2 linked regions of the Coturnix japonica genome follow. The protein of the gene in region 1 interacts with the protein of each later gene in a pairwise test. Links are inferred from orthologs where the notes say so. Each region holds a gene or a part of one and is shown on either strand. Other genes may lie near its edges. The genes, in order: FHL3 and C17H9orf116.

The links.
Region 2: the proteins of FHL3 (region 1) and C17H9orf116 interact in binary tests that used the Homo sapiens proteins (3 or more experiments, as listed by UniProt). The two-hybrid records come from large-scale screens. The link is inferred for Coturnix japonica from reciprocal best matches to the Homo sapiens genes FHL3 and PIERCE1.

The regions. Positions count from the first base shown.
Region 1 is NC_029538.1:3,102,552-3,118,666, reverse strand, and holds the start of FHL3 (four and a half LIM domains protein 3), read right to left. Parts: upstream 7,771-16,115; 5' UTR 7,639-7,770; coding exon 7,632-7,638; intron 1-7,631. UniProt on the Homo sapiens protein: Recruited by SOX15 to FOXK1 promoters where it acts as a transcriptional coactivator of FOXK1.
Region 2 is NC_029532.1:6,213,256-6,228,118, forward strand, and holds C17H9orf116 (UPF0691 protein C9orf116 homolog), read right to left. Parts: upstream 7,290-14,863; 5' UTR 7,265-7,289; coding exon 7,158-7,264; intron 7,074-7,157; coding exon 6,995-7,073; intron 6,691-6,994; coding exon 6,505-6,690; 3' UTR 6,172-6,504; downstream 1-6,171. Other genes in the region: PPP1R26 (protein phosphatase 1 regulatory subunit 26), read left to right, coding at 1-2,619, 5,514-5,568; MRPS2 (28S ribosomal protein S2, mitochondrial), read left to right, coding at 7,349-7,439, 7,525-7,654, 8,063-8,639. UniProt on the Homo sapiens protein: Microtubule inner protein involved in the attachment of outer dynein arms (ODAs) to dynein-decorated doublet microtubules (DMTs) in cilia axoneme, which is required for motile cilia beating.

The sequences.
Region 1 (16,115 bases):
GAAGCCTGGTATGTGCTGATAGCACTACTGGGGAATAAATCCAGCGTTCCCACATGGCTACGTGACCAGCGGACAGGGAAAAAAAGTCCCCATTCAGATGCTCATTACCCAGCTGCCGCCTGCCCCAGGGGACAGCTTCATCCCCACTGGCAGCTCGGGGCTACTGCTCTGCCTCACAGCTCCCAGCCCAGCACTGGGATGGGGCTTTATTCAAAAGAGCCAGTTAGATGCTTGTGCCAGTGCTCCCCTTGCTGCCACAGATCTGTCCCCAAGCACCCTCTCCCTTTGTGGCACCCACACCCCCCAGTGCTCCCCCCTGCCACCCTGCTTGCCTTCAACTGCTGCAGATACCTGGGACCTTTCTCTCTGGTGAAGAAAGCAAATGAAATTACCACTCTTCTCCTCCCAGCCCTGTTGAAGAGAAGAACTTTCCAAGGTGTGTCTGTAATAAAAGGGCCTCTAATAAGCACTCCTGCCCTGGGAACCATGATACCGCCAGGGCTTGGAGCTACTGTGTTTGCTTAATGGGCTGTGCTGTCTCTGAAGTCCTAAAACATGGGGTTAGAGAACATCAGGAAACACGAGGGAAGGGGAAAAAAGCTTGATGGGAGAAGCCTTGGCTTCTGTTGGTGAGATGCACTCAGTCCCTGAGTGCTGCTGGCCGTCCCTCCTTGTGTCCCCAGCAACAAAGCAAGGACAGTGAGGTGGGTGGTGATGCTGCAGGAGCGCATGGAACAGGGAGCAAAACCCATAGAGAAACACTTTGAAAATGGTATTTCAAGTTCTGCTCAAAAGCAATGGCCCGAATGGTACTATGCCAGAACCATACCCACCCTGCTCACAAGGGGCTTGCACTGTGCTGGTGTGCCAAAGACTGGGAGAAATGGGTGCACTGGAAGCAAAGCGCTGCTTCCTTTCTGCTTCGAGCAGATCTGGTTCTGTTGGTTCTAACTGTGAGGTGCAGGGTTGGCAGAACGAAGCATCACACGGCTGAGGCTGCTGCGAGAGCACACAGGATCAGACCCTGTGCTGCAGAGAATAAAACCCAGGCCCAGGAAGTTTACTCAGAGTTATTTGTCTTAGATAAGCTGCAAGGAAATGATCTGTTTGCTCTCTTTGTTCTGGTCATGCACGCAGCGTTGTGCAGCAGTGACAAATCCTGCACGACACCACAGCAAACTCCACATCTTCACCCACGGATGTGGTCACCAAGGCACAGAGAAAGGTGAGAGAAAAGAAACACAACAAAGGAATAGGTCGAAAGTCCCAATTTCTTACTGTGATTGTAACGAGGATCTGAGAAACTGTTTTAGTTTGTGAAGACAATAAGTGGAGTTTTAAAATGCATTAAAAATCTGTCCTGGCTTCAGGACCCTTTAAATTGATGCTGAGACTTTAGGGCTGTCACCATGCACACTAATCAGCATGTGCTGATACTCTGCAGTCTGCACCACCCTGTAAACACCAGTTGTGAGCTAGGCTGGTGTCAGCAACGCCTCCAGACACCAACCAAGGTGTTGCCCCAACCTGATAGGATTCCAAAGAGCGTTCACCCACTCACCCATCTCAGGACAAGGGCTGCCAGACTTGGGGCACTCCTGCAGCTGTCCGAGGGCAGAAATAACATCTCTCTGCCTGCCAGCTGCCCACCCAATCCTTCTGCCTGACAGAGCTGTGCTCATAGAGGAAAGGAAGCTCAGTTTCTCGCCTGTGCCCAAGAACAAACAGCTTTGGCAACGAGAGCTCCCCTCGCAAACAATATTTAAAGTGTTCCGGGATGCAAACCTGATCAGGCTGGAACAGAGCTCAGAATAGCTGCACGTATGGGAAAGGTCAGCAGTTCGCCAAGGACGCACAGCAGAGGCTGCTTTCTAATTAGAGAGTACCAGGCACGTAACACCACGCCGGTGTCATTGTGCACAGCAACACCTCAGAGGGCTTAGCAACAGCCCCAGGAGATCGTTACATTCATTTTAGTGTCTTGAACTATTATGCAAAGAATAGATCCGGGGCCAGACTTTCTGCTGCATACAATCACTTTAGAGTTTAAGCACTTTTGGAGTGAATTCGGGCTACCATGAGGTCTCACACACAGTGTGAACCTATAGTCCTGTGTAACTCCATATGCGTTTGTTGTTCGTTGTCAGGTCACAACCAGCTGCTCCACCAGGCGACCCCAGAGCAACCCAACAAGGCTATTCCCAGGGAAGCACTTAATCTTCCCAGGACACAGGAATAGAGCTGCCTTTATGTGTCGGGTTCCTGCCTCTCTCCTCACTCTGCCTGCTGCCCTGGCGCTCGCGCTTCACACCTACAGGCACGCGGTGGGCACAGTGCAGTGCTGCAGGACAGGCTCCCATGTAAGGATGAAACCTCCTGGCGAGGCAGCTTTGGAAGATGGTCCTCAACGTGCTTCGAGGTCAACAGAGGAGAATGCTCTTTGTTCCCCTTGGCTTTCCAGAAACATTATGGGTGCTGGAATCCGCGTGACATTGTTTCTGCCTCTCGTCCAACCCTAAAAGGGAAACCAGCTGCTCACTCATGGGAGCAGCACTGGCCCCTGCACGAGGCTGGGGATTGAAAGGCGTCCCCCTTCCCACCTCTGGGAGCCACATGGGGATGGCTTTTGCCCCTCTGCCCCTAAACTTGTGAGCTGTAGGCCTGGGCCAGCAGTCCAGCATCTGTGCTGCTGCAAAATGCTGCCTCCAGGTGAGAGCTGGGGGAGGCAAGAGGCTGCCAGACATTTCACCAGCTGGATCCTGCCTGCACGGAGCCCCGCCTGCTCCGAGCATCCCTGAGTCACATCCTGCTCACAGCTGCACCTCCCAGCTCCACGGGTGGCCCATAAGAGGACATCAGGAGCAGCAGAGTGTGAGCACAGCTCACCTGCACCACTGGGGTGCTGTGCCCTGGTTTGCAGGCATCCAAAAACCTGCAGTATTGTTGCTTCTCCAAGCACAAGGAGATAACTGCTGGCCTGGAACTCTGCAATGCATCCATCGAGATGGCTGCCACAGCTGTGAGGAAACACCCTGCACTGTACATAAGATCTGTGATCTGGATTCTCCTTTTATGCCTTCTTGCATCAGAATCAGTGGTGCTAATTCCGGAAGCAAAACGCATAACTTAAGTACCCAATGAATTGTGCTAGACCAGACACACTTCAGATGATCTGGAAAACAAATTGTTTCCTAGTTGAGATTAATTTCATGAACTACTATAAACAGTGAGTCAGATTTCCCAGGAAAGTCAACACACTTTTGAGAGACTGTATGCAGAATCTGCACTTTGCACATGGAAATAGCCTCACCCTTGATGTGCTTAAAGACTTTCCAGCAGACCTGGGCAGGCTGGCAGAAGTCCTCCCTGCTCCAGAAGCTGCTTTGCCCATATGGACATAGTAGAACTGTCAGGATGTGCAGGGTTCTGAGGCACTCCAAGATGCCGTTCTGGTTTTAGAGCACTGCTGAGTTCATAGACCTTCATCCCCTGGTAATAAATTCCTCATTCTTTCTCTGAAGATAAGGAAACATAAAACTTGACTAACATGAATGGAAAACCTGCTGCTACTAAGACAGGCTCTCACAAAGCAGCATCCCCATACAAGGTAATGGCACAGAGTTCTGAGCCAGTGTTTGTACACACTGTGACATTTGTCCTTTACAGAAAGAACCTCTTTTTAATGAGGCCACTCTGCAAGGGAATCCAACTTTCCACACTGCTGCGGAAAAGAGGGTGGGATGGACTGAGATTCAACAAACCCTGCCTTGGGTGGAAGGCAGAGCTGCAAGGACCCACTTGGAACAAGCACCCTGTGTCATTCTGCTGGCATGGAAACTCAACATTTCTTCAAGAGATCAGCTGTTAATCTTATTTCAAATGTATACAAAGTAAGCAAATTCTGTGCATGCAACAGGAAGTCAGGAATTGAAACCACTTGTCCCCCATGATTCAAACCGACCACTTAATTCGAGGAGGAAGTCCAAAAAGCAGAGCAGTTAAATACAAACACATCAGAAACTTCTCCTGAGCAAAATGAAGTCTCATTTACCAGATGGTCAAGAAACATGGGGCTTCAAAACGTGCCTAAGGAGATTTCTGCTGGTCTATGAAGAGGTTTAGGAGAGAGTGTGGCCCAAGTACCTGACCCTGTGCCACACCAACTGAGCCAAGGGAGGCCCCGCTGGCAGCAGCTTGCAATGAGCACTGCTGCTGGAGGTGGTACTGGCTGCAGTGTAGCAGCTGCAGACATGGCCAGGGTGACCATAATAGGAAGAAAGACACTGGAGCCAAGTTTCAAGGAGTGTGACCGAGCACGGGAGCTTCAATCAGAGGAGATTCACTGCTTGGGACAGTGACGGCTGGATGCATTAAAAAAGCCTGAAAAAGGAGTAAGAATCAAGTGGGCAACCGCTTTCTGAATGCCACTTGAAAGAAGGGTATTGTCTTATTCGATTATGGGAATAGGGATACCAAAAACATGCATGCTGAGAGCACACACGGTCTTTAGACTTGCCTCACTGAAGGCACCATGCTTAGGGAGTCTTGGCCTCAACTGCAGTGCTATTAAGATAGATGGGCCTGGCCGTTCCCATTTGGAGAACCTGCTAGTAGCAAATCCACACATTTCTTTAGTTTCCCCTTGTTTTCCTTTTTCAACTAGAAAATCAGGCAAGAATAAGGAATATATTTATTACGCAGGGCTGAATAAACCTTTCAGATGCACTGAGCAGACCGTATGCTTACCAGTGTCCTACTTGCAAGAGAACACAAACAAACCCTAAAGATAGTCATCAAAACAAATTAACGGGCAGCAGCTGGCCTCCAGCCCCTAGGTTTCATACCAGGTCCAGGCAGGAGCTAATCTGGAAAGTGCCTGTTGCTTAGAGGTGGATTAATCTATCAGTAAGCCTCCTTTGCCCTTGTCGTTACAAAGTGATGGACAAGAAAAGGTGGTGGGGGATCGTAACTGGATGAGGGTTCAACTAGAAAGTCATAAAGAGGGTATATATAAATGCAGATGAAACTGCAAACTGGTGCTTGTGGGCCTCGTGTTACCTCGTTGTTGTAGCATTGCTTTTCTTGCTCTGTGTGCTGTAGCCCCGTCCCAACCTATCAGGATCACAATGGGGCACCTGCGTGGAGGCAGAGTTCTCCACCAAACAAATGTATATCAAATATACGTCCACAATAAGACCAATAAACCAACCAGCCCCACATTGATGACCATAAAACCCAGCTGACTTGGTCCATGGCCACACAGACGCCTAACTGCTTACCCAACTGCAGGATGAAGGCTCCAGAAACAATGTCTCAAAACCTCTTTGCCCCAAGAAATAAAGGTCAAAACAAATACACTACAACTCAAACATGAAAGCATGACAGGAAATGACTAACTGCACACTGAGGCCAACTTACCTTCGTCTTAGATCTACCCACTACACAAGGATCCTGCAATACAAACAGACACCACAGCTTCCATGCAGAAAAAAGAATCAGGCTGCTCGAGGTGCTTGCTATGGGGTGCAGACATCACTGCAAAACCAAGGCATTCTGCTTTATTTCCCTAATGTTCTCTTACAATTCCAGCTCTGTGCTGTAGTTTTTGTTTCCTCTAGCTGTTTTGAGGATGAAGCCATTCTTAGTTCAGAAGCAATGAATAATTTAAATTTCTTTTTACAAAGCGTTTTGTAGTCCCTGAATAAAAGGTTACGTCTCTGTTTTGCACAGGAGCCTCAAGCTTGTCTCTAAGCATGCATGAAAATCAACCCATGGACAGGCTGCAAGGGGTAGATGCAGCCATGTGCATGCGTTGTGCATCTATGCTGAAAAGCAATCCTGCATGGTCTGAGCCCAGCCCTTATTAATCACCTTCACCTGAGAGCCTGGCAGCCCTTTAGTTGACTAAGGATCCATTCAACTTCAGTTTTCGTTGTTGATGCTTTATTAATACACAAAGTAACTTTGATCTACAGGAGCAGGAAAAGACATCTAGAACACACATCTTATTTAACAATTGCCTATTGCTTCAAGGGCAAAAGGATTTTCTTTTTCCCCCAGACCAAATATTCTCTTTCTGAGTCAATTCCCTGCCTCCCAAGCTGTAGCATTCATAGTCTCCTATATAACAGTGATGCTGAGGAAGGTGGATGGCACCGCATCTGCATACAAAACCAGCAGAGCAAAGCAGAAGCCAAGGTGATAGGGGAGACACTGCACTGCCACTTGCATGCCATGCAGCTGCCTTCTTGCTGTCTGATCACCAGCCAGGGACCTCTTTGCCTCTGCCCTCACTTCTTGTGCAACAGCCTGCAGTCCTGCCTACCACACTTCTTACAGCTGCTGTGTCCCTCGCAAGCAAAGGCAATTACAGCTTTGTAACCCGCAGCATGTGAGCACTTCTAATTCTAGGGAAGGACTGAATCCTGGCAAAGACAAACTGTCTCAGGTTACCATCCCAAGAACCACTCGCCTGTGGTCCGAAACACAACTAAGATCTTCTGTTGCCTGGGAGATGCTGCATGTGCCAGCTGCAGCCGTCCCTAAAAAGGCAGCACTCCCAAGGACAGCGAGCCAAGCTAAGAAGGACATGGCACGGGAAGAGGGAGGTCTCCTGGAGCCATTCTCCTGCTAATGTAGACATAAAGTAAGTTTCAACCTTCTAGAGTTAATCATCTCTCTGCTGGGTGATCTGCTCATCAATAGTCTCCTTGGTAAAGCACTTCTCACTTAGACCCTTAGTGCTGCACGCTTTAAGCTGCAGAAGTTGTGATTATTGTGTATTCTACATAAAACCTCGAAGAAATAACCCACTGCAAGCACTAAAAATAAATGTGCAGAAACCCACATGCTTTCCAGTTCCTGCCATACTTTGAGATGCAGTCTTTGGTGGTACTTCTGAAAGGGAAGACTTGCCACATTCAAAACATACAGTGAAAGCAGCTATTATAAACGGGCACAAGCACTCACAAAATAAAGCGTAAATGCCTCTACATCACTAACACACTAAACATGGAGTTTCCTGTGTGTGGAGGAGCCACAGCCCCAAGCCCTGCTGCTGGCAGGTGCCACTGCAAAGTACTTTTGCTGACTGCCCAGAAACTCAAGAACAGCTGAAAAGTGCTCCTTTGCAGAACAAACACACAGAGATAAGAAAGAGTAACACTAACCAGCCTTTGATCCAGGCCTGTGGCTCATTCACAGAACCTCATAATCATGCTTAAATCTGAGATATACAAGGAGACCCACATAAAAAGGGATAGATCCAAAATTGGACTCTTCGAAACTTCTACATGAAGACTTCCACACAAAGAAGAGCTGATGTCTCAGCCCATGAAGCAGAGGTTGCAAAAGTACGTCCCATTTCTTTGCTGTGGAGGAGATGCTCCACACTCTGTCCCTGAAGGAAGAAGCAATAGCAAGCTGCTCTCTGCCAAGAGTTGCAGAGTTCCCAGGGCTGGCTGCATGCTCCTGCACTCCAGCACATCGGGCTTCACTACAGCAAGAAAACACCAGCACCCAACAAACCTCCCTCTGCTCTCCTCGTAGGTCAGACCAAAAACCAATCTACTCACAGTCAACGTGCCCCAAGCTGGCAGAGATTGGAACCCAAACCTCCAGGCTGTTGTTACCTTGCATTGTGGCAGTGAAGGATCTGTGCAGAGCCTGGGGATGTGCTGGGGCAGCTCCCACTGACTCACAGTGCAGGCACTATCAGCAGGTGCAGTGCAAGGGACTCTGTCCTGTAAGCACCTCACTTGTAGAACGCTCGAGTGCTCGCCCAGGAACAAAAGCAGCCACATCATAAACCAGATGGTGACATCAGCACTGGGATTTTATTTCCTGCACAGGTTCAGATTTCATTACTTGTGACATGAAATTGGACTCTTACAATTCGAGTTACTCTATATTTTCATAAAGGGCGCAGGAATCCCTGATTCCAATTTGTTGGATATAAATTGCTTCTCAACCTCCTGAAGACAGCAGCGCTCACTGATTTCCACTGGAAAGGGTCAGTGCAATTTGTACAGCACCATCCACTTGGGGCCCAGCTGTTCAAAATCCCTGGACTGCTCTTTTCCCTTCTTATTCCAAGTTCTGCTCTGCATCTCCTTCCGAAATTAAAGCTCAGAGTTATCAAGGATCTGACAGCACGTATTTCATCACTCCTGGGTTGAGTCATTGTTTCGGAGCACAGAGCATGATGCAGTGTGTGCTTATGGTCCAACACCTCTGCCAACATGAAATGCATTTCTGATTTTCCACATACAGCTGCTCAGGCTCTCCAAAAGCAACACATCCAAGACTTCTATACAAGCCCAACAGGCCAGAATTAATCTTCCTGTGCATTACATGATGTTTGCACAGGGTTGAGAAATACTAGAAATAAAAGTTCTCTTGGCTGAGTTACATGCAACACAGTGTACTTTCTGCTATTAATGACTTCAATAAGTACCTCTGACACTTCACATATTCCAGAAACCTCTTGTTTAGGCATCACAGCAGTTTTCTTAGTAGAAAAGTGTTCACTGAGCTAAAGTTAGCCACCGAAATGTCTTAGATTTTAATTACTGCCTTTTCTATTTGAAGTTTAATATGCTTGGAAAAGAGGCAGGTAGTAACTAACCCTCACCCAGGACACAAACTGAAGATTAGTTTGCTTGGAAGGAGGTTTAACTCCCTGACATCCCATCACAAACAACACAAGTACATATGGTGACCCAGTGCAAGACCATAAACACCAGAGTGCTCAGTTTCCACAGACCTGACATCCCATTCCTCTCACAGGATTCTTGCTTGGTCAGTTCCCCAGCAGCTGTCACCAGCAGGAGCACTACTTACCCTTACAACACCTGCAGGGCACGGAGCTATTTTATCTCCCTCCTGGGATTTGCACCTCAAAGGTTTTTGGCACAAGGCAAGCTTGGCAGGGCTAAAAAAGGAACTAAGATCCACGTTGCTGGCCAGCAACGGAACCAGAAAGCTTCCTTCTCCTCCTGAGATGCAGCAGCATGGAAAACATGACGTCCACTCATGCATGCTACAGATCTATATCCAAACAGAGCCCACAAGCTGTTCTATGTGAGAAGCAGGGGGGAAAGAAAGGTTGAGGTGAGCAGACCCAGCACTGTGGCTGAACCTGGGCTCCAGACCTTTCACCTGAGCAATGAGGAGTCTTTGTGTGTAGCTCCCAGCACTGGAACTTTGGGCTTTCAAAGCAAGAAGCTGGAATACAGCACCGCAGCAATGTAACACACAGGGCTACACCTCAGCTCAGGCTGTGTTAAGTCTTAAGACCCATTAAAACCATTTCTTCCTTAACCGAGGGCAGTGGAATTCGAAGGTGAGGTCAAAAGCCCAACAAAAGCAGCTCGGGGCAGTGCCTGGGAGCTCCACTCTGACAATAGAGCTCAGAGACAGCTCGGGGTCTCCTCCCTGTTGTTTTTTCACCACCCTTGTATCCTAAGTGCTACGTAGGAATCCTGCCATCAGCTGTGGACCTCAAAGAGGAATTTCTGTCCTTTCAGATAGACATTTACATTGTTATTTCCTTTCTTTTGGTTCATTAGAAGAGCCTAAAAAGCCCCCTGAAACAGACATTTCTCCCCTGTAGCACTGAGCTATTGATACACTGTTCTGGTAGGAAATAGCACGATCTGCAGGCACCATCCAAACTGCAAGAGAAAATACTGAACCCCAAACATACATAAGGGAAATCCTGTGGGCTTGGATCATTTGAGAAATAAGGTTGCTTTAAAACTACAGGAACAACACATGTCCACAATGGGCTCTGCACTGCAAAGATAGAGTCTGAAAAATCAACTGCCAGTTGCTTTTGCTATTTGCGTTTTGCATTAAGAAATCCCCCGAAGACTTGAGGAGCCAGAGCTCAGCCTGGAAAGGATTTTTATGGTTGCATTGCAAACACACAGAAAGCAGGGATCTCAAATGGAAAGAGGCCATTACAGCAGACATCACTCCCTGGCTCTGCTTGGAGCAGCTGGGATGATCTCTCCAGGTAACCAAATTACTGCTACTAAAACCCATGTTGATATTGAAAGAAATCTGGAGGGAGATGCCAAGTCATCACTCTTCTTCCCAAGTAACAAGATAAGAACCACGTTAATTGAAGAGTTTCTAAGTAAGCACTTGAAATTTGAGTAAACAGATTTTAAATATCGAGAGACCCTATTTACATTCCAGTGTAATAATTAAATATTTAATATCTCGTGGTTCCAGCATTCTAGGTTTTTCTAAGCACTGAAATATTTCGTCATGTAAAAAACATCTGTAGCAGCTGGAAGACATCAATTTGGCTTACGAAGATTTGTTAGTTTAAATGCACATAAATAAAACGCTCATTTTTATTTCCAAAAAGCTAACACTGCTTTGTTTAGTTTTAATAGGGTGTTTAGTGAATAATGTTTTATACTGGCAGGGTATATCAGATCCTACAGTGGCACAAATGCACACAGTTATCTGTTAACTAAAACAAGCCTTGTGTTTAGTTAGAGCTTGCTTGTATTGACTCACCTGAATCATGCAGAGCAATAGGAAAACCAGCCTGCTTATAGTTGAATCCCTACTTGTGTTCTTTCTCCCTAGTTCCCCAGCACTGAAATCTATCTTATAAAAACACTGGCAAGATGAAACTTCTCTTCTGAGCTGGGATTCAGATACCCATGGTACAGAACACCAGTGTCTGTGCATGCCTTTTCTCCCCTAAGAAGCTCCTGCCTAATCTTAGTGCAGAGCTTTAAAAATAAATCAAGTAAACAAGGGGCACTGCTGAGATCATAAAAGGAAGTTGAATTTGGCTTCATACGCACATGGATCACCTTTCTGGGCAACAGTTTGCAAAGGGTTATTTATTAGCAGCTCATTTTACTTCTGCTGGAAGATGCTGAGGCTTTAGCGAAGTTCCTGCAGAGCACGCAGCAGCATTCAGCGTTCGCTCAGCTAATAGTTAAATCACTGCAGCTCTCCGATGACTTGAAGATTATGGGTGTAGGAAAAGGGAATGCTCAGCAAGGGGAACTTTCAGCAGCCACCACCAAACTGTGGTTAAAACAGACACCAATGACTCCATTCAGCTCCCAAACCTCAGACAGTTTCCATTTTCTCAATAACAAAGCATTTTTGTGGGGTGAGGTAACAGGCCTCCATCTGCCAGGTCTAACTCTGCTATGATTCCTTCCGAATGCGGCTGAGTGAGGCCCTGGGGCCAGCAAGCACAAGGCTGGAGTCCCACACACCCAGGGACAAAGGGACAGACGTTGAGAAGAGCCTCCTGGGACTGTCCCACTGGTTCTGCTGGGAGATGGTTGCAATAAGAGCCTCAGATGGGCCCCAAGCAAAGCACAGCTGGAGGGCTCCGGGGACTGAGGAAGGAGCAAGACAGAGTCTGGGCTGGAGCAGAAGGCAGACGGATGCTGGGGGTTCAGCAGTCAGCCATCCATCACACGCAGTCAGACACATGGAGCATGGGGGTTTGGAAGCGATGCGGGTCTCTGAGCACACATTATAAGACAAAGCACAAACAGGGATGTAGCCTCCCAACAATTAAATGCTTAAGGGACGACTGCGCAGGCAGGGCTGTTCCTTCCACACCAAACAGCTGAGCCTCAAAATAGAGGGAAGGAAGGATTTTGGTTCTGCTCTTAATTTCTTTCTGCATTTGGCACAGCTTGTATCCCAGCATCTCAGTTCCAGGAGCACCAAGCACCTTTTGTTTCACATCAGCTCAGCTCTTCCTATAAACAGACACTTCATGCAGAACCACGAAGCCTCCCATCATGACCTCGGTGCCCAATTCTTTCCCATCTCTTGAGGCTTGGCCATCCACCCTGCGTAAGGATGGAGAACACACAGCTCCAGGCTCACTTGTGCAAAGGTAAAACCCTCAGAACAGCATGGCAACGAGTCTGGATGAGCTTGAAGGGAGAGCTGGCTCCACAGCATGCAACATCAGGAAAGGAACTTTATGGAGTATGTCAATCTTCTCATCTTCTGTTATGTTCTTTACCTTTTCCCCCCTGTCCCTGCATACAGAAGCCTTTAAAAAGCAATGCAGGAAATTGTGCCAGACACAGCAGCAGCTGGTACAAGTGGATGAGCAGTAACTTGGGCAGCTCCCGAACCCAGCTCACCTCCAACTTGTGTAAATAGCACCGCCAAGGGCTCTTATTTGCCCCGCTCGGAGCCCTCATTCTGCCTGTGTGACAGATGGCAGCTGAGCCCAAGTTTTAAGAATGACAATTGAGAGGGATTAAGAAATATTTACAGAAAATCCATCCTGATTGCATTATTTCAGTCTGGTACGTCAGGTTTGATATTTACAAGGACAACAACAAAGATTCCCAAGCTGAAACTGCCCCGAAGCCATTTTGCACAAATTTAATTGAAATACACAACCTTCAGATCTCTGACATTACTGCAATACAAAGAATCAATGAGGACAGAAATAACCAACAAGCCTGTAAAAAACACAAGGAGCAGCTCCAACTTTCCTCTCAACTCACCTGCAACCCAAATTGAGCAACGTGCTAATTAGAGAAACTTCACTCCCAGAAACACCAATTTGCTTAACCTTAACCCTTATTTCTGCAGGTCAGACAACCTCCATTTCATGCACTGATGCAAGCCAAGGAGAAGCATCCTAATGTCAGGAAACACAGAACATACTTCCAGCTCTGCTGTTGCTTTCCTGACTGGTCGTGCCACCTATATGTCCAAGTCTTCCAACTATGGAAAGCAAAGGCAATTCATCAGTTGGTCTAACAAGAGCCTTTGCGTTGCTGCAGCTGTTTGTCATGAAGTTTTGAAGATGGTAACAGTGATCTCATTGCTGCTTGGTTCAATAGAAGGTACCCAACTGGATACCTGGAGAACTCAGCTCACTGGTCTTTCCCAGCCATGACAAGACACCTCCCAAGTCTTCCTCTGAAGAACGTTGCTGTCACATCTCAGAAATCCACACTGCTAATACAAGCCTGAGCACAAGGGCAGCCAAAGAGGACATCCATCAGAGATGGGTTCTGCTGGAGAAGGCTCCCCGGAGACAGTAAGAATAGCACGCTTGATCCCAGATGGCAACAATACGCAGTGCACATTTCCAGCAAATCCAGGGATGGGGCAGAGAACTGCAAACTGACCAAAGGCCGCCCTGCTCTCTGCCATCTGCTCTCTAGATGCAGGATCCTCAGCTGAGGCCTTTGGGAAAGGTCAGCAGAGGCTTAAAGACTCTCAAGATATTGCTTTTGTTCTCACTGTTAGCTTCTCAATTCCTTTGTTAAAAGATACGGATCTCTCTGTAAGGCAGCTATTTGGAGCCAAGAGTTTAGATATGATTGCAAAACATATGCTTAAAAGAGACTGGAAATGATGTTGGCAGTGTTACAGAGGGGAGCGAAGCGCAGCTTTGGGTCAAAACAAAAAAAAATAAACCTAAGCTAGTAAAGCAATTCCCATGTGATGGCTTAGAAGAGCCAGCAAAAGCTTCTTCTAGAAAGAAAACAATACTGTGAGAACGAAGCTAACAAGAGCTGGCTCTTGGAAAAATAAAACGGCCAGTAATAAGCCAGAGTATTGCCAACTGCACATATCCAAGAGAATCTTTCTGGGAAACCAGCTCAAGTCGTTGCACTGGAGAGCCCTGAGGGACTAGGGACCTCGAGGCTAAATGCTGGCAAATTGCTTCATCAGTTAAAGTTGGTTTCAGAGTTTTCTACTGCATAAGAATAATTTGTTTTAGCCTACAGGTCTCTACAGAGCAACGGGTGAATTCAGGCTGCTTCCTCTGGGAAGGGAAACGAGGAGCTCAGCAAAGCCCTGCCCACATGGGACATCTTTAGGAGGCTTCCCACCACCACCACCATCGCTTCAGCCTGCCCTGTCAGCTTTGCTCTGCATTACCCCTCATGCCCCTCACCTGCTGGGAACCCCCCTCCAGCTTGTGCCAACAATAGTTGTCACAAAAACAGGATTGCTGTGCTTCCATAAAAGCATCTTCTCGAGACTCATTCACCCCAAATGGACGTAGTCAGAGCAATTATTCTGATGAAGCTTGTTTTCCAGAGGAACGAAGAGGAGACCTTGCTCTGTGTATCTCTGAGAGAGATTAGCTAATCCATCAGGAAAGAGACATACTGATGCAAAGAGATAACGGCAAAGCTTTCGTCTGAAGTCTTCTCTTTCATTTCCAGTCCACTTACTCAGACACGGGAGTATGCAGAGTACAGAAGACAACAAACGGGATCTCTAAATGTTCTTCTGCACTAGCAGAGAAAAAGCCTACACTGGCAGGGGATGGCAAGGCACTACCTAATGACCTTCCTCCTCTTCCAACCCCTTCTCTGATTCATGTTGCCATCTTCCTTCCAATTGACCTAAATAACATGTTCAGGCAGCCCTGGAAGTATTTCCGCCCCATACTTCAATAGCAGCAAGGTCTCCACATCTGGAAAGGGGATTGCTCAGGGAAATCACACCACAGTTGGCTTAAGAGTGCCTTCCTTTCCCAGGAAAGGAAGAGAATCACCCTGTCTTGTCTCATTGCACCAGTAAGGCTTCCTGGCTGCAGGGGAACAAAAGTTGCCCAGAAGCACAGAAAACAATTGTGCTGCTTGCGCCCAAACCCCAGCTAATCTGAACAATGTGGGCAGAGTATTCAATTACCTCATTTCCAGGTGTGCTGTCAGCCTGAGCCACAACTGGCTTGGGATGAAAGAGGAAAAGCTGCTTCTAGATCTGGACTTGTCTGCATCATTTATGGTAATTATTGCCCAGCAGCCTGTAATCTTTTCATGTCAAATCGCACCCTCAGCCCTTGGTCTCTCTACAAACTTTTGATGCCAGAAGAGGCTGAAGACCAGAATGCAGGACCCACCAGAACAGCAGGCACGTCATCCTGAGCCACAGGAAGGAAAGCAAAGCAACCTACACTACAAGGACTTGGGCAGTTCAGTCAGCTTCAGACACAAAGCGATTACGTGTGCTAGCAACATCCAAGTACTTGAAGCAGATGCGTGTCCAAACACTTATTCTACCTGCCCAGCTATTCACTTCAACTCCTGTAAAAGAACGTAGCATTCCATGGGAATCACAGGAATACAGGGAGAATCCAACCCCTATCTCTACATGGTTGTTCCACACTGAGTTTTTTTTGACCCTCTCCAAAACTCTTTACTGTGAGTTCAAGTATTTGTGATAACCCTGTAGGTATCCCACCTCTCTGCAGCACCCCAGACTTCTGGTCAACGTGTTAACTTGCAGCAATGGCCTTCACACTGCATTGAGTAAAAGAAAAGGTAAAAAAATCCATTGACAATGCATTTCTTGTCTACAAGGAAATGTATTGTTGGAGAATACAGGAAAGGCTTCCAGAAACGACACATGGATCCTGGGAGATCAATTTCTTCTTCAAAGTTCTCCTATACAGGAGAAAGGAAGTATACTTGATCTGTACCACCTCATTTTCAGGTAAACTGAGTTTCAAAAACTAAAGGAGAAAACAAGCAAGCAAAACTCACACATCTTTGTGCAGCAGCATGACTGTTTAGTCCATAACAGCTAGACTGTATCTGTTATCTCTCCATTTTTTTTTATTAGCTCCTGTTTACTTTGGCTGCACATCCAAGCAGTCATTTAACCAGGGTGAGAGAGGAAAATCTTGGACTCTTAACAATGGCCAAGCAGTTTAATCTGCCACTGGGGACAATGACTTGCCTCCTATTGGTGTTTAGTACTGGCAGGGTCAAGTGTAACATGTGGTGAAGGAAGCACTAGGGAAGCAGATCTGCAGCCATTCCATCAACACTGAGCATTTCCTTGAGCTATTCAGAGGTCCCTTTCCTCCTTGGGAGCAGAGAATGGCTCCAGATGTCCAGTCACCTGCACTGGCTTCTCTGCTCACAGGATTTATGAGCTTAGGGGCTGCTAACAGCTCAGGTTGGATGCAGCTCATTCATCTGGCTTACAGCTTAGATGCTCAGAACCCAGCTAGGAAGCAGTTAAGATGATGTCCTTGGATGGAAGCTGACTTATGCTCCTGAACTTGAATGGCACTGGGCATAAGCATCACCCAGCTTTTGTCCAGCAATGACCCTAATCAGAAG
Region 2 (14,863 bases), on another chromosome or scaffold:
TTGCAGAGAAGACACATCTGCAGAACTCATGTGTGCAGAAGCTATTCTTGATATTTCCAAAACAATCATGCCATCCCAAATGGGAAGTGACAGCAAATCCCTCGCTGCAGACTCCTTCTTTTCTCCCCAGCTTCTCTCATCCTCTCATTGTGAAAGTGACAGCAGCCTTGTGGACAGCGATGATAGCATAGAGCAAGAAATCCAGGCTTTTTTGGCTCTGAAAGCACAGTCAGAAAGCCTTGTACCAAAGCCTCCTGGCCTGTCACACTCAATCCAGATGCCTTTGCCACCTGATCAAAACAGCCTCGCTGGTACCCTTGAGCCTTCTTTTCCCAAAACACTGAAACAATCACTGAATCGTAAAAAGAAACTTAAAAGGGAAGGCAGAATAGCAAAGCAGGGTGCATCAAAAGCATCCAAACAGATGGGGATGGGATTTTTCCAGCCAGAAAACTACTCAAAAGTTCCTGTGCTCCAGGAGGGAACCATGACCAGCCCTGAAGGACTCTGTGCTGCTCAGACGCCCAGTAGCAATGAGACTGAGCAGCAGCAGTCGACATCAACTGAACTGTCTGAATCTGCTGGCAAATGTGTGGCCTTGGATTCTGGAAATCCTTTTTTGCAGGTTCAGAGTGGTGCAAGAAAGCTTGTGAAAAAGACTATCCAAACTCAGGAGAGGGAGGGTTCAGATGATGAGAGCAGTTCTCTGGATAGTGATGAGGACCTTGATAGTGCTATTAAGGACCTTTTACGATCTAAGAGAAAATTAAAGAAGAAGTCTAAGGACCAGAAATCTCAGTGCAAGAAGAGAGTCACTTGTACTGAGACGGACAGTCAGCTGCTGGATGAGGTTAGTGACCTTCAGCAGAATGAGTGGAAATGTAAAAATCCCGTGCTACTGAAAAGCTGCCCCTCAAAATCTAGAAAAACTGTGAAAGAGAATGCAGTCAGCAGTCATCCAGGTAACATAAATGTCAGCCTTTCGAGTGAAAGACCAGAAGCCGTGAAGAACGTAGAGTTTGATTTACAGCTTAAAAAAGGGTGTAAACCTGAACCCGTTTCAAACCAGAATAACCTGCAGATAGCTAAAAATAGAAGAGGTTCTTTCACAGCTGCGTTAGGCACTGATGATAGCAGTTCAGTGGACAGTGATGACAGCATTGAACAAGAAATTAGGAAATTTTTGGCAGAAAAGGCTAAGGACTCTGCAAGCAATTCTGAGGTGCAAAAAAATGAGGCAACTCTAGACCTGTTGACCAAACAAACTGCAAATAAAGGAAAAGTGAAGCAACAGTCAGTTGAAAATGAGACAGACTTCTTGCTGGGTCAGACTAAAAAGACTAAGGGCTCTCAGCAGACTGATGAGTTGAAGAGCTCTCAGAGAACCGAAGGGAAAAGTGCAATGTTACTTGACAGTGGGAAAACTGCTTCCTCTGCAGAGAATGTTTCTTTTAATACTACTGGTCAGTCAAAAGCTAAGCAAGGAATGGTGGGGGTTAAAGGTGTTGCTGCTGGTGAGTTACCTGGGAAAGCAACAGGTAAAAAGGATGTCCCTAATACAGAGCCTGTGCGGAAAACACTTCCACCTAAAAACAGGAAAAATGAAGGTTGTAAAAGACGAAAAGTAAGCAATGCAAAGTCTAGGTCTAAAAGAAAGAACACCTTTCAATTAAAGATTTCGAGTAAATTTATTGAAGGTCTGAAACATGCTCGGGAGAGGAAGAAATCCATGCTTTTGAACAAAAAGCAGAAATCAGAGCATTTGCTCAGCCAGTGCAGCTCATCAGGAACAGAGGTAGCTTCCCAGGATACAGATGTACTTAAGCAGGAAAAAGGAGCCCCACTGCCAAAAGGTGAATGTAGTGGGGAGAATAAGACAGCAATAAAAGAATCCAGCTCTTCTCAGAAGCTCACTGTGGAAGTGTCAGGTCCCCATGTAGCAGAAACCTGTGAAAGACCAGATGCTGCTCCTTTGTATTTCAAAGAAGCAGAGGGCTGCAAAAAGGCTGCTGCCGACTGGATGGATTCACATCTGAATCTCCCCTCACAGGAGCAGAGTGTGGCAGCAGGACAAGTAGATAAGGTTTGCAGAGAAACAAACAAAGCTGAGGACGTACAGATGGGGACTGAGGAAGGAGATAGCCACAAAGACAGCTGGGCAGATTCAAATGTCAGTCCCCCACTCCTACAGCACAATATGGCAGTGGTAGAAGCAGATAAAGTTAGCAAAGAAACATGCCAGCAGAGTATACACATATGTGGTCATGGAGAGAATAACCAGCAGGACAGCAGGCCAGATCCACATGTGGGTTGTGCACCGCAGGAGCTGAATGTGACAGCAGTAAGAGCAGATGAAGCTAGTGGAGAAGCATGTGCAAGTAACAGTGTGCACATGTGCGTGGAGAAGGAAGGCATTACCTGCCAGGACAGTGACAGACAGTCAGAAATAAAGGGATCCAGCTCCGGTTTGGAAGGCAAAGTGCCTGTCCTGCAGAATAGGGAACCTGATTGTGAACCAGACCAAGGCCAGGAAGTTTTAGAGAAGGATTGTACAAAATGTACTGACACACCAGCAGGGGACAACCCAGATTCCCTCATGAAATTAAAGGTATCAAAGAAGTAAGTACACTTTTTACTTGTCCTCCCACAGTAAGTCTTTAGAAAATAACTATCACTGTAATTCCCTTAATAGAACTTGTGACATGGGAGATGGTGGGAGAAGGCGATAAACGCGTATCATATACACACTAAGGTGAAAAATGCTTCTATATAACAGGGATATTGTGGATAAACGTGCTTAGGTTTTGTAGAATTTTGTAAATTATTTAAAGCCTTCTAAGGAAGTATTTTTTATAATGATTTTTAGTGCTTATGTTACTACAGAATGCTGTAGCTTTTGTAGATTAGGAGATGCCGCCTAATCATACTTTAAATTATGAGGCTTCTAATCATGGTTAAAAGGAAACCTGTCAGTTATTTGTCGGTCTGTGAGGAGATCCCAGGCAAACACAGCAATTACTGACAGCGCAGTGCTTTGGAAGCTCACTGCCTGCCATGTGTTTACACTCGAGCTGCCTTAGGACAATCCTGTGTCCCCAGGGACTGCAGAGTGAACTCACCAAGCAGAACTCCAGCAGAGTGGATCTGTGGATGTCACTAGGCTTGGGTGTAGCTGGGCCTGCAAGGCTGAAACAATTTTCTCCTTACCCTTGAGTCTAATTCTGATGCCCTGCAGTTACCCAGCACCACGTTTGGATTTTTCCAAATGAACTTTCTTCAACTGAGTGCCCTTACTTTTCTTTTTCAGACGTGGTTTTTAAGATGTTACATTGCTGTGAACTTTCATTTACAAGTTTTGTGCAATAGAGCAAAGCTATATTTGCTGTAGGAAGTCCCCAGCAGAAACGCCAAGGATATTTTCAGCACTGTTCTTTCATACTTTAGAGAGTTTTCTCTTTTTCCAGCACCCAGAATAAAGCAATTTTTCACTACTGTCTTTTCTATTTGAACTGACTTTAAATGGCGTTCGAGCGATGCTTTTATATCGTGATGGAAGTGTTCCACACCAGCTCCACTCAAAGATCCAAAAGGTGTGAATTGAAGCTGTTGACTGGTTCTTTCATTTTCACTTGTGTCTAATGAAGTCCTCTGAGTAGTTTGTTCCTGCACCTGGTCCTGTGAATCGATTTGATGCTCTCTTTATTCAGTCTTCTACTGAGCTTGTAAGCCAGACTACCATTTTGGCTTACCTCGTTTCTTAATCACTTCAGCAGTCTTCCTAAAGGCTGGCCTTAATGTTCAGAAATGGAGCGAAAGCAGTCAAGAACGGATCCAGTATCACTTAATATCTCCAGATGTGATTGCATTTGCAGAATATTGGCAAACTGCAGCGTAGCATAGAGTAGAAAAAGGAACTGTGGCGTGTAGAGAAATAGAAGACATCCTTTGTGTGTTTATACTGTCGTGCAGTTGCATTTTAAACATACTTATAGCGGTCACTTGGCATTTCTTATTGTCAGGCCACCTTGGGCTGGCTGGTGGAGGAGTTCACTGCTGGCTCACTTCATTTTTGTGGTAGGATACGTTGGAAAAGTGGTTTTTAACTTAGCTCATGCCTGCAGGACCTTTGCACAGGCATGTCTCTGTGTCTGCTTTGATTCAGTTGCAGGATTTGGGCATTATTGTTTGAGATAGGTGAATAGGCTGTATTTTAAAATAGAATTTCTCTGAGTACCTTGCTTTCAAAGGATTAAACCATACTTAGTAGCGATGGTGGAAGCACTATGTACCATTTGTATGAAATAAGCTGGATGTCTTTCAGTGTTTTTCACTAACCCAACCTCAAGATTTACGGAGGTGTCTTGTGCTCCTGTTGGTGTGTCTGTGTCTCTCAGTACTACTTGTGAACTGATTCACTTCCAGTGAAGATGCAATTCTGATGACCTTGTGCTTTAAATACAAGCTAATTTCAAGCAGCACTTTTTTAAAAATTAATTGATAAAACTTGATTTGTATATAGGAAATGGTGTACATTGATACGTTTATAATGTTTAATAAATGGGGTTCTGACTGTGGACCATGAAGCCAGAGTGCTTGTGTGCTTTGTGTCTCCAACATGGGTGAGCAGTGTGTTGTGTTACAGCTTTTCCCTCCTGTCTGTAGTCCAGAGATGCAGTTTATCCATGTCAGCATCACCTGTTTGTGAAGGATGTCCCCCCCCTTCGGAGTCAATCCAGTTTGTTTTAGCTGAACCTCAGAGCAGGGCCACGGCTCCTCTGCTGCTTCTCACCTTTCATCCTGTTCTCTCAGCCACCAGCAACCTGAGGCCATCATCGCCTGGGACAGCAGAGTGTGATGTCCTTGTGAATGAGATCTTAAGTGATGTGGCCATTTACAGGAATGTTCTTAATAACAAGAAGAAAAGAAGAATCTCTTATCAGCCAGCCAGCTGACCCCATTTTGGCTTCTCCATTGATGGCCATAAAGGCACTGGTTGAGCACCATCCTTATTTCAGCCCTCACAGGGAATTAATTTGTGCAGTTTTGGCAGTATATACAAGGACAGAGCCATGGGGTTCAACCTCAGGACCAGAAGGATTGCCTTCATTCTTCATAAGCAGCTCTTGGCTGCTACTTTAGGAACCTGTTTCAACTCATGACTGCTTTATATAAAAGGAAGAAGCACTCCATCTCTGCCACCGTCTCCTTTATTAACATATATGCTCAGGGATGGCTGCAGCCAGAGCTCACACACTGCTCCCTTCTCAGCCAACCTCAGTGGAGCACATGGGGTAACATTACCCCAACACATTAAAGGATTCAGGGCGATGTTTTAGATTTGAGTATGGAAAGAGATGGAAAATAGGTGTCAAAACCCACTAAGTTTATATTTCTGAGAGCTCCATCCTTAAATTATTCCACCTGCAGGAAAAAAAACCTGTGGATGGAAGTATTTGTAAAACTGACACAAGTGTTTGCATTAATTCTGCCCTTAATGTTACTTCTCATTGCAGGAGAAGAAAGAGAAGAAAAACTCAACGCATTACCAAGAGTCTAACGGAGGAATAGCAGCGATTGAGAGAAGGTTGCTTATCTATTTCAATGCGTTGAATATTTAAGAAGTTAACTTTTCAGGCCCATTTCTGTGCCCAGTATTTACTTGTTCATATACATTGTTATGTTTTTAGAACTTAGCTGGCTGGTTTTGCCTTTGAGATAACTAAATTAATTGCAACGTGGGGTTTGAAGTGTTTGTTAAGCTTGTTTGAACCCACCACAAAACACAGGCTTAATGGCAGGCTGTTCAGTTTTGGACTTCAGATGTTCAATGACTTTAGCTGAACAGAGTTATCTGTTCTTCCTCCAAAGCTAAACGAGGCCTTAACAAGCTGGGAGTCCTGTTAGAAAAGCAATACAGAGTTTGAAGTCTGGGGAGGGGAGGGGGGGGTTCTACTGTTATCTTTAACCTGCTAATGCAGCTGTTTTGTCACACTGTTACCAAGCTGAAAGATTCTTTACTGTGTTCAGGAGGAAAAGTTCTCATTAAATTCCAGTTTAACCATTTTAACTGCATGAGTCTGTGTGTTATCCTGCTCGCTGTGCCCTGTCAGCTCTTTTTGACAGTCTGGGCTGTTTCATTCCCCTTAGAAATAACTGTCAGAATCACTTATGTGTTGTGGGCTCCTGCATATGTTTCTTTATTAAGACAACAGCTTTGAAACAGCTCTGCAAATTTAGGACACCCACAAGGCCACAGCTGGCCTACAGGCTGAATCTCCTGCTCACATCCCACGACAACCCACTGCATTCAGGAGAGATAACCTGCAGCCTGTGGGCAGCAGCCATGGCTGTAACCGAACCAGAGGAACGTGGTGCTTCACAACGAGGTTTAGCAGCGGGTTTGGGGTAAGGTCGGTGCTGTCGTTTCCCTGACTTTTTAGATGGGGAGGGAGTGATTTTTTTAACTAAACAGCCGGCAATAAACTGAAATGGTTTCATTCTGCTTCAGCAATGCGAGGGCCCGTTGACTTTGTAGCTGGGGTGGAAGTCGAGGGTGTCGTAGGGGGTGATGAAGTTGGCAGGGCCGGTGACACGGCTCTTCTCCAGGGCGGTGTTGAGCCCGTCGTTCCGGTACATACCACGCGGTCCCAGATTGTCTGAGAAGGCGTGTGAGGTGACGTGGTAGGAGCTCTGAGCAGGAAAAGGAGAAAGAAACGAGAAGAGACGTGATCAGCACCAACACCAATAGAGCCTGCAGGAGCTTGGACAGCATTCTAAGGGCACTTCATCACAACGCCCCTCCAAGAGCTCATTGTGATGGATTGAAACCAAGGTGGTGGCTCAGAGCCGCAGGGTCCGAGGTGGGGTTGCCAAAATGAGGGTTAGGGTGTTGGGCAGGAGGAAGGTTCGCAGTGCCCTGGGAGGAAGGTTAGTGTGGTGGGACCCCAAACCCATCACTGTGCAGATGATGCTCAAGCTCCAGGCTCGCACCTACCGGCACTTCGTACGCAGTGGGCGCTCTGCGGCCGTACTCCTGGTTTGTCGTCCGGTACAGAGGGTGCGGCTCCGGCTGCCTGCGGGGATACACGGCATCGAGGCGGGCACAGGGCAGAGGGGCTGGGGGTGTGGGGTTGTGGGGGGCACATGTATGGGCTCACCCGTATCCGCGGAAGCCGGAGAGCTGCAGGAAGCGTTGGGGCAGCGTGCTGCTCACCCAAGGGCCGCTGCGGGGCGCGGGGCCCTCGGCGGGCTGCGGCTGTGCCATGGAGGGACGCGAGACCGCGTTGCCAGGCAGCAACTCAGAGGAAGCGGAAGGTTCGGCTCCTCTTCCTCTTCCTCGGGCACAGCGATGGCGGTGATGCGGTTCTTAAGGGCTGGTGAGCGGCTCTACAGCGGCCTCCCCGCCCCGGCGGCACTGACGGCAGCGGCTCGGCCCCGCGGTGAGTGCGGCACAGCCCCGGCCCTTCCCCTCTATCCCGGCCCTGCTGCACGTTGGGTTGCAGTGATTTCTCTTTATTCCCCCAGATCTGGAGGACAAGCTGCTGACCGAGCCGCTCCGCCACCCCGATTTCTTTAACGTGAAGGAGCTCTTCTCACTGAAGGATCTTTTCGATGCCCGAGTGCACCTGGGGCACAAGAAGGGATGTCGGCATCAGTGAGTGATGCTGTGTGATCCTTGTGTTTCTATAGGGCACACGAGCCTTTGGAGGCAGCACCAAACCTGGGACTGCCTTAGCAGGGTCTGTTGTGATAGCACAAGGGGAGATGGTTTCAGACTAAAAGAGGGGAGGCTTAGACTGGGTGTAAGGATACAGGGTTGGGTTCTTTTGTTACTATAACAGCAGTGAAGGAGACACCCAAGGTCAAGCTGCAGGGGCTGTGAGCACCTGATGGAGCTGTGGGTGTCCCCATTCAGTGCAGGGAATGGGACCAGATGGCCCTTCCAACTCAAACACCCCTCTGATATCAGCAGGCAGTTGGGCCGTGGGAAGGTTTCTTTAGGACTGGAAATCTCTCCTTCATGCCAGTAGCCCTGCGTGTCACCCCCCCTTCATCCCTGCAGGTTCATGGAGCCCTACATCTTTGGCTGCCGGCTGGACCAGGACATCATTGACTTGGATCAGACGATGCAGCATCTCCAGCTGGCCCTCAATTTCACCGCCCACATCGCCTACCGCAAAGGCATCATCCTCTTCGTCAGCCGCAACAGGCAGTTCTGCCACCTGATTGAGAGCACAGCACGGGAGTGTGGGGAGTACGCTCACACACGTTACTGGCAGGGCGGCCTGCTCACCAATGCCCACATCCAATTTGGTCCAGGCATCCGCCTGCCCGACCTCCTTATCTTCCTCAGCAGCCTCAACAATGTCTTTGAGCCCCACGTGGCCATCCGGGATGCTGCCAAAATGAACATCCCCACGGTGGGGGTGGTGGACACGAACTGCAACCCGTGCCTCATCACTTACCCCATCCCTGGTAATGACGACAGCCCCACTGCCATGGAGCTCTACTGCAAGCTCTTCAAGATGACCATCATCCGTGCTAAGAACAAGAGGAAGCAACTTGAAGTCTTCCAGGAGCTGCAGAGCCAAGAGAAGAGTGATACAAACCGCCCTGTGCTGTCTGGTGGCCAGGCCTGACCATGGGGGCTCATCTCCATGCTGGAGGTGGGCACTCTGCTCCACTTTACAGTGCTGTACCCATGGCATCACAGGCTGTTTGTCACACAGGGACATTTCCAGCTCCAAAAGAATTAGCCCAGAGCAATCGGTCTAAGAGATGGAGTGGGGCCAGTGGGCAGCTCTGTGCTGGTTTGTTGTTGCCAGGAGCACTACTTCTGTCCTGTGACCTTCCCGTTGTGAAATGCTGCAAAGCCATTTGTATCACACACCACAAATAAATAAAGGGGCCTTTGATCCTATTCTTTCTTTCCCTGTTATGGGGAGGTGGGGAACTTTCTGGCAGAAACACTATGAGGGGATAAAGGTGTGATTGTTCCCACTTGGGGGATCTCAGGGCATCCATGGGAGCTCAGAAACTGCAGGGGACTGCCATAAAAAGGGCAGTGCTGCTCTTAATTATCCATGTGCCCCTTTAGGAGTGCTTAGGGTGGTGTCCTGCCATTATCCTGCCCCCTCGCCTCTATATCCGTGCTGGGGTAACTCCGCCATGCCGACCTCCCGTCAGCAGGGGGCGCTCGAGGGAGCAAAAGCGCAGTGGGGATTGTCCTCGCTGCGCTTCCGCCGCCCTCCCTATATAAGCGGGAGGCGGGAGGCGGTGCGGCCTTTTCGGCGTGGCGCTCGGCGAGTGTGGAGCTCTTCCTTAGGGCTGTGGTCGTTGCGAAGGGCCGACTTTAAGGCCTCGCTGCCCGCCTGGCTGCTCCTCTGGGCCCTTCAGGCTGAGGGCACGATGCCTTTTACCGGGGAAATGCAGCTTTATATTGCTGGTTACTGCTGGCTCTGCCCGGCGTGGGCGCCATGCTGCACTAGGCCTCGGCTCCAGACCTTCCCGATATCTCTTCAGGCACATCCTTAGGTATGTCACGACTTGTATATTTTTACAATGCGTACAACAAAACACTAAAACATACATTGTTACTAGTTTATACAGGCATATAGTTAATTATTTTAACTTCTCCTCTTTGGATCCTTTATTACTCAGGTCTTATTTGTCCAGCACCAAAAATCAGTGGTTCTATTTCAGACAGCTGGACAGACAGGAGCTGCAGTCTTTGTACCTAATAACTTCTACCTAATAACTACAAATTGCTTCACTTATATAATGAGACCTAGAAATAAAATATTCTTATCTTATTCTAAATGCAGAAACAACATTTGATTCCCACACTTCCAGGGAAGGAGGGGGAAAGCAGGGCTGCAGCCTGGTCTGCTTTAAAGACTGGAATAATTGTAAGGAATCCGTTTAAAAAGCGATTATTTTCCCTAGCTTTTAACTTTTGGATTTTCTGAACTGATAGGAAGAGTTACAGTTTAGAAAGGGGTTACTTAGTGGGCTCAGCATCCATTGTTAATCACATTCTTTCTCTTTTTATGCCCTTATTAGCATAGGACGAAGGGCACAGTGAAAAAGATGTTCCTTCCTGGAAAGCCGAAGGTAAGCAGTGCTGAGCACAGAGCTGCTCCAATCTAAATGGGTTCGTTTCTGTTCTGTATTGATTCATTTGCTTCCTGCCACAGGCGTTGCAAAGGTGGCTGCTGTGACATCTTTGTGTCATTAGGTGGCAGAGATGGACAGGCTGTGTTCTACGCTCGTTTGCTCTGCAACTGGTGAGCACTCAGAGTGATTGATAGCCTGACATTGCTTAGATACAGGCTTGTTGTGTTGGGTTTCTTTATTTACCCTTAAGTATGAAATCAGGGTGTAGTACAATAGAAAGCTGTTGTGGATGTCCGGGTGCTGGGAGATGTGTGCTGGCAGCCCCAGTCCTATTTCCTGTCTGGAAGTAAAACACATGCATGTAATACACATCTTTCTAGATTCACCCTTCTTTAGGACCTTTCAATTACTTGGCATCATTAAAAAAGAAAATGGATAACCAGCTTTGATTTCATCAATGCTATGTGTATTATCTGCTCTTTTTCAGAGAGAGGCAGGTGGTGTGGCAGAAAGGTCTGAAGAGGTCTCAGAAACCTGAGGTGAGCAGTAGTGAATAGCAGCTCATGCATTACACAGATCCATGCCCCAGTCGTGTTGCAGATATGGCTGCAGTGCCATGTTTGTGTCATTAGGTGGCAGAAAGGAAAAGGCTGTGTCTGCTAATGCTCTGAAACCCGTGAGCACTCAGGAATGACTAGCGACCTGACAAATATTTCTACCTTTCTCTGTTTTTCTGTAGCATTAACCTTAAATTGTGCAGTGTGGGCAATTCTAGCTTGGTCTGGAAGCAGTTGGGTGTGATGTAGCATATGGGGAGAAAACTGCTTTCTTCTGCTATTATTTGTTAAATGCTGTCAGCAACTTCTTGCCTTCCAAGGGTGCTGAGTATGTGAAGAAGGTGCAGTCAGCATCTTCTGAAATGTCTTAAAAACTGTGCTTGCTTTTACAAGGAGAAAAATGAAGATACTTTTGTGCGGTTACATGTGAGGACAAGTCTGAGTTGTCGGTCAGTTTCCTTCAGATTTAAAAGGTAGGTAGTATGCCATTGCTTGGAAACGTGACTCAGACCTCAGTCTGTTACTAAAATGATTTTAATACAGAATGCTGCTGGAAACGTGTCATGAGTTTGTGGTGTGGTGAGATGGTGGTGGAGAGATACTGAAGAAATAAGGTTGTGAGTGCTCTGTCCTGTTCCTCAAGACAAGATGCAGCTTCCTTATTTGTGTTGCTGAGCTCCACCACAGCAGACAAAATGTGAAAATTCAATTGCACGTAATTGAACACCATTGGGCTATTTTGCTTGGTTTTGCTGTGTTTGTGCTAGCATGGTGACAAGGAAATGTGACCTTTAGGGCAGCTCAGGTACCAAAGTGCTGCAATGGTTTGGTGCATCACTGTCATTCCTTGCTTGATGTGGTCCGTGGGAGCATCTGCTGTGCTGGTGATGTTTCCTAAAGCAAGTGAGAAGCTCTCACTACACACAGCATTGTGAAACTGCGAGCCTTTGCAGTGACTAATAGCTTTTTGAAATCTGGCACTGCTAAATGTTGGAAAATGTCAGCATTAAATGGGCATTACAAGGGCCAGAGGTGTCGTTAGCCGAGCGGGTGTCTGCTGGCTGCAAAATGAGCCATTTAATTGGGAAAAGGCACTGCCTTCCAGTAGTGGTGGTGGAAAAGAATGCTAATAAGGTGGTTGGGAATATGGTTATGTGTAGAGGCATGCACTGTGATGCAACCCCTCCATTTAAGTTTCGTGGCTTCTTTTAACCCTGAAATGCGAGTTGTGTTTTTCCATCAGCACTCACATCAAAGGGCTGTACAGGGGATGAGTGCCTGGTGAGGCTCTTTAAGACCTTTACATGTAAAGCATAGCATGTCTTAAAATTTCCCTGTTGCCATTTGCTACTAACTGTATTCCCATGACTGAGCAGCAATCCCAGGCTGTGAATATTATGTAAAGGCATAGAACCCTCCTAAAGTAATCTGAATTTGAGTGCTTTCTGTCACTGTTTGGATCTGGTCTGCCCAGGTTCTCAGGCACTCAGATTTCCATTGTCTTGCAGTGATTTCAGTGAGTGTAGTTTGGTTGTTCTGGGTTGAAGTATGATTTCTTAGCTTTAATACTGTAGGATGGTGAAATAGCAGGAGTTTCCATGGTATGGGTTAATTCTCTTCTTAGTGTTGACACTACTGCTAACTTTTATGGGCTGTATTTATTTGACATTGTTGTCTAACATCCTGTGTGCTTTTGATTTTCAGATCTTGCTCAACTTCTAGAACTTCTAGCAAGCCTGGCTACAGGAAAAGAAATGGTTTGGCATTTCAAGATGCAGAAAACTTCCATCTTATTCATACATGGGTTCAAGCAAGCTGCAGCCAATGCGAGTGCATGTAATATTTCCTTCCTACAAGTAATCTTAGCTTGTGCTGTTTTCACACCCATGTTCTGAAGCACTTGTTTTGACCATGTTTACCACATGGCTAAGAACGGTTTATAAAGAACAGTGCTAAGTTCTGACCTGCCAGTCAGAATTGCTTTATAAACACCTTAGGATCTAGGATGTGTTTGTGGATATGAGAATTGTGATTCTTGTTTTTTTAACCTTAAACAATAAAGTTTGTAAGCTTGCTTCCTACCTCATTCCCCTTCTAGCACTTAAACCTTTTGCACTGCTAAAGCAGCAGCATCTGTTCATGTTGGGTTATCAGCCTTTCAGTGTTCTGGCTCTTGCTCCTTTTCCAGTTAATGTGGAAAGTTGGGAGGAGGCGTTACAATGTAAAATAGCTTTGCCTTGAGTCATTTCTCTTCCATGTTGTACTGCAGCTCGTAAACCATAATCACTTGTTTGAAAACACTTGTGCATTGTGTTAGTGATGATGAAACTTGGTGCTCTTGGGATGTGTGAGTCATAGGTAAGTCTGAATCCCAGGTGCCTGTCCAGTGCTGGTAATGGGGAATGCAGAATAATAACACGTTAACGTCCTGGGTTTTGTCAAAAGTCTTTTATTTGAATAAAGTGTCTGAGCTATTTCCCTTCAGTACATGGGCTGTCTTTTCCTGAACAATTTCTCATTGTAAATGCCTGAAGATGGTATTTATGGTGATGTAGGTAAGCAAGAAAAGAATACATGTTTTTGTCCATCTCTAGTTGCTTACCTGCTGCTTTATGTAATAGCTTTTGGGGAGGGGAGCAGTGGGGATGAAATGAAGTAGGAGTGCCATTTGTCAGAGCAGAGTTTAAGGTTTGGAATAGATGGAAGGGTGAAAAATGGCTTTCTTGTAAATGAGATTTGGTATGGTTGTTAGGTTTTTGTTGCTCATAGCAGAGGGAAATGATCTTGTCAGTGGAACTAGTTGCCATGGGACAACAGGCATGGAGCTGGGCATAGCTATGTGAAGCCTCACTGAAAGAACTCCAATCCTTGCCCTCCCTCCCCACCAAACAGCCTTTCCATGCTGGCACAGGGATCTGTCCCTGCATTTAGCAGCACAGTGCCTGGAGGTGGAGTATCACCACTGCATTATGGGTGGCTGGCTCCAACAGACTGAATGACTTGCAACCTTTCAAACACACAGGAATTGTACAAATGATCAGCCTTCCCACAGATGAATGATGCTGTGGAGCTGACTCCTTTGCAGGGAGCAAGCTGTGCTAGCTCCCTGCTAGATTTAGAGCGCTGTTGACACTGAAACATATCCTTCATAAATAATAGTGAGAGGTAATGATGATCCTATAGAACTAATAGAAGGAAATGCTGATATTTATCCTCCAAAGGGCCCATAATTTTGCAGCTGTGACACTGCAGATTACCTCCACAGACCATATATATACTGTTTAAATGTATTCTTTTTTTTCCCCCTCAGTGACTGTACTTCAGATATATGCTCCACTTTGCTAAGCAATTGTTGGCAGGAGCAGCAGCATACACTGCCAGCAGAAACAGTGCTGGGAACAGTGCTGGGAACCGAGCACGCTTGAGGTCATCTGCATAAACTCTTCCTCTCCTACCTGAAGGTTTTGAAAGGTTGCTGCAAGAGAGCATTGAAAGGAAACAGAGAGCAGGTAAAGAGCTGCAGTATTTACACAGCCAAGCAAATGTTACCTGCTGAGAGGTTCTCTGGAAATTCATTTGGATAATGGGTGAAGAAGTGGATTATTCTGGCATTAATCTTTAACCTCTGCAGTGGTGACCCAGCTTAGAGCATTAAACTGAAAGGTTGGCTTATCCTTGTGTGTGATTGAACGTTGTGGGAAGTAACACGTGGAGAATATATGGTAGCTGGTCAGAACCAATCTGGTTGTAGCCCTTAGGTTTCCTTTAAGCTCTTCTTGCCTTATGTGCTTCCAAACTTGGCACGTGAAGGGGAAATGGCCCGTGTACCTGCTGGCAGACAGTTTGACACTACAGGCAGAAGCAGCTGGGTGGAGATCCTCACCAAAGCCATCGTATCACTGTCATGGGTCAGGCACTTAAACAAAAAGCAGTGAAACAATTGCCAGGATTCTCTGCTGTGGAAAAGGCAGCTTATCCACTTCCTAAGCTGTGGCTGGATCTCATGGTAGATGATTCAGATGCTTAAGGAGGGACTTCCTGAATTGAAAATCTACCTTTTTTTCATCCTTCTTTTTAGATCACAAGAATGCTGGTACTTAAAAGGCTGTTGTTTTGCTATTGATGTAGTGGTGTGATTCACGTAAAAGCTCTTTATTTACTTCAGAGATGTTCATCAAAATAAGATGTGA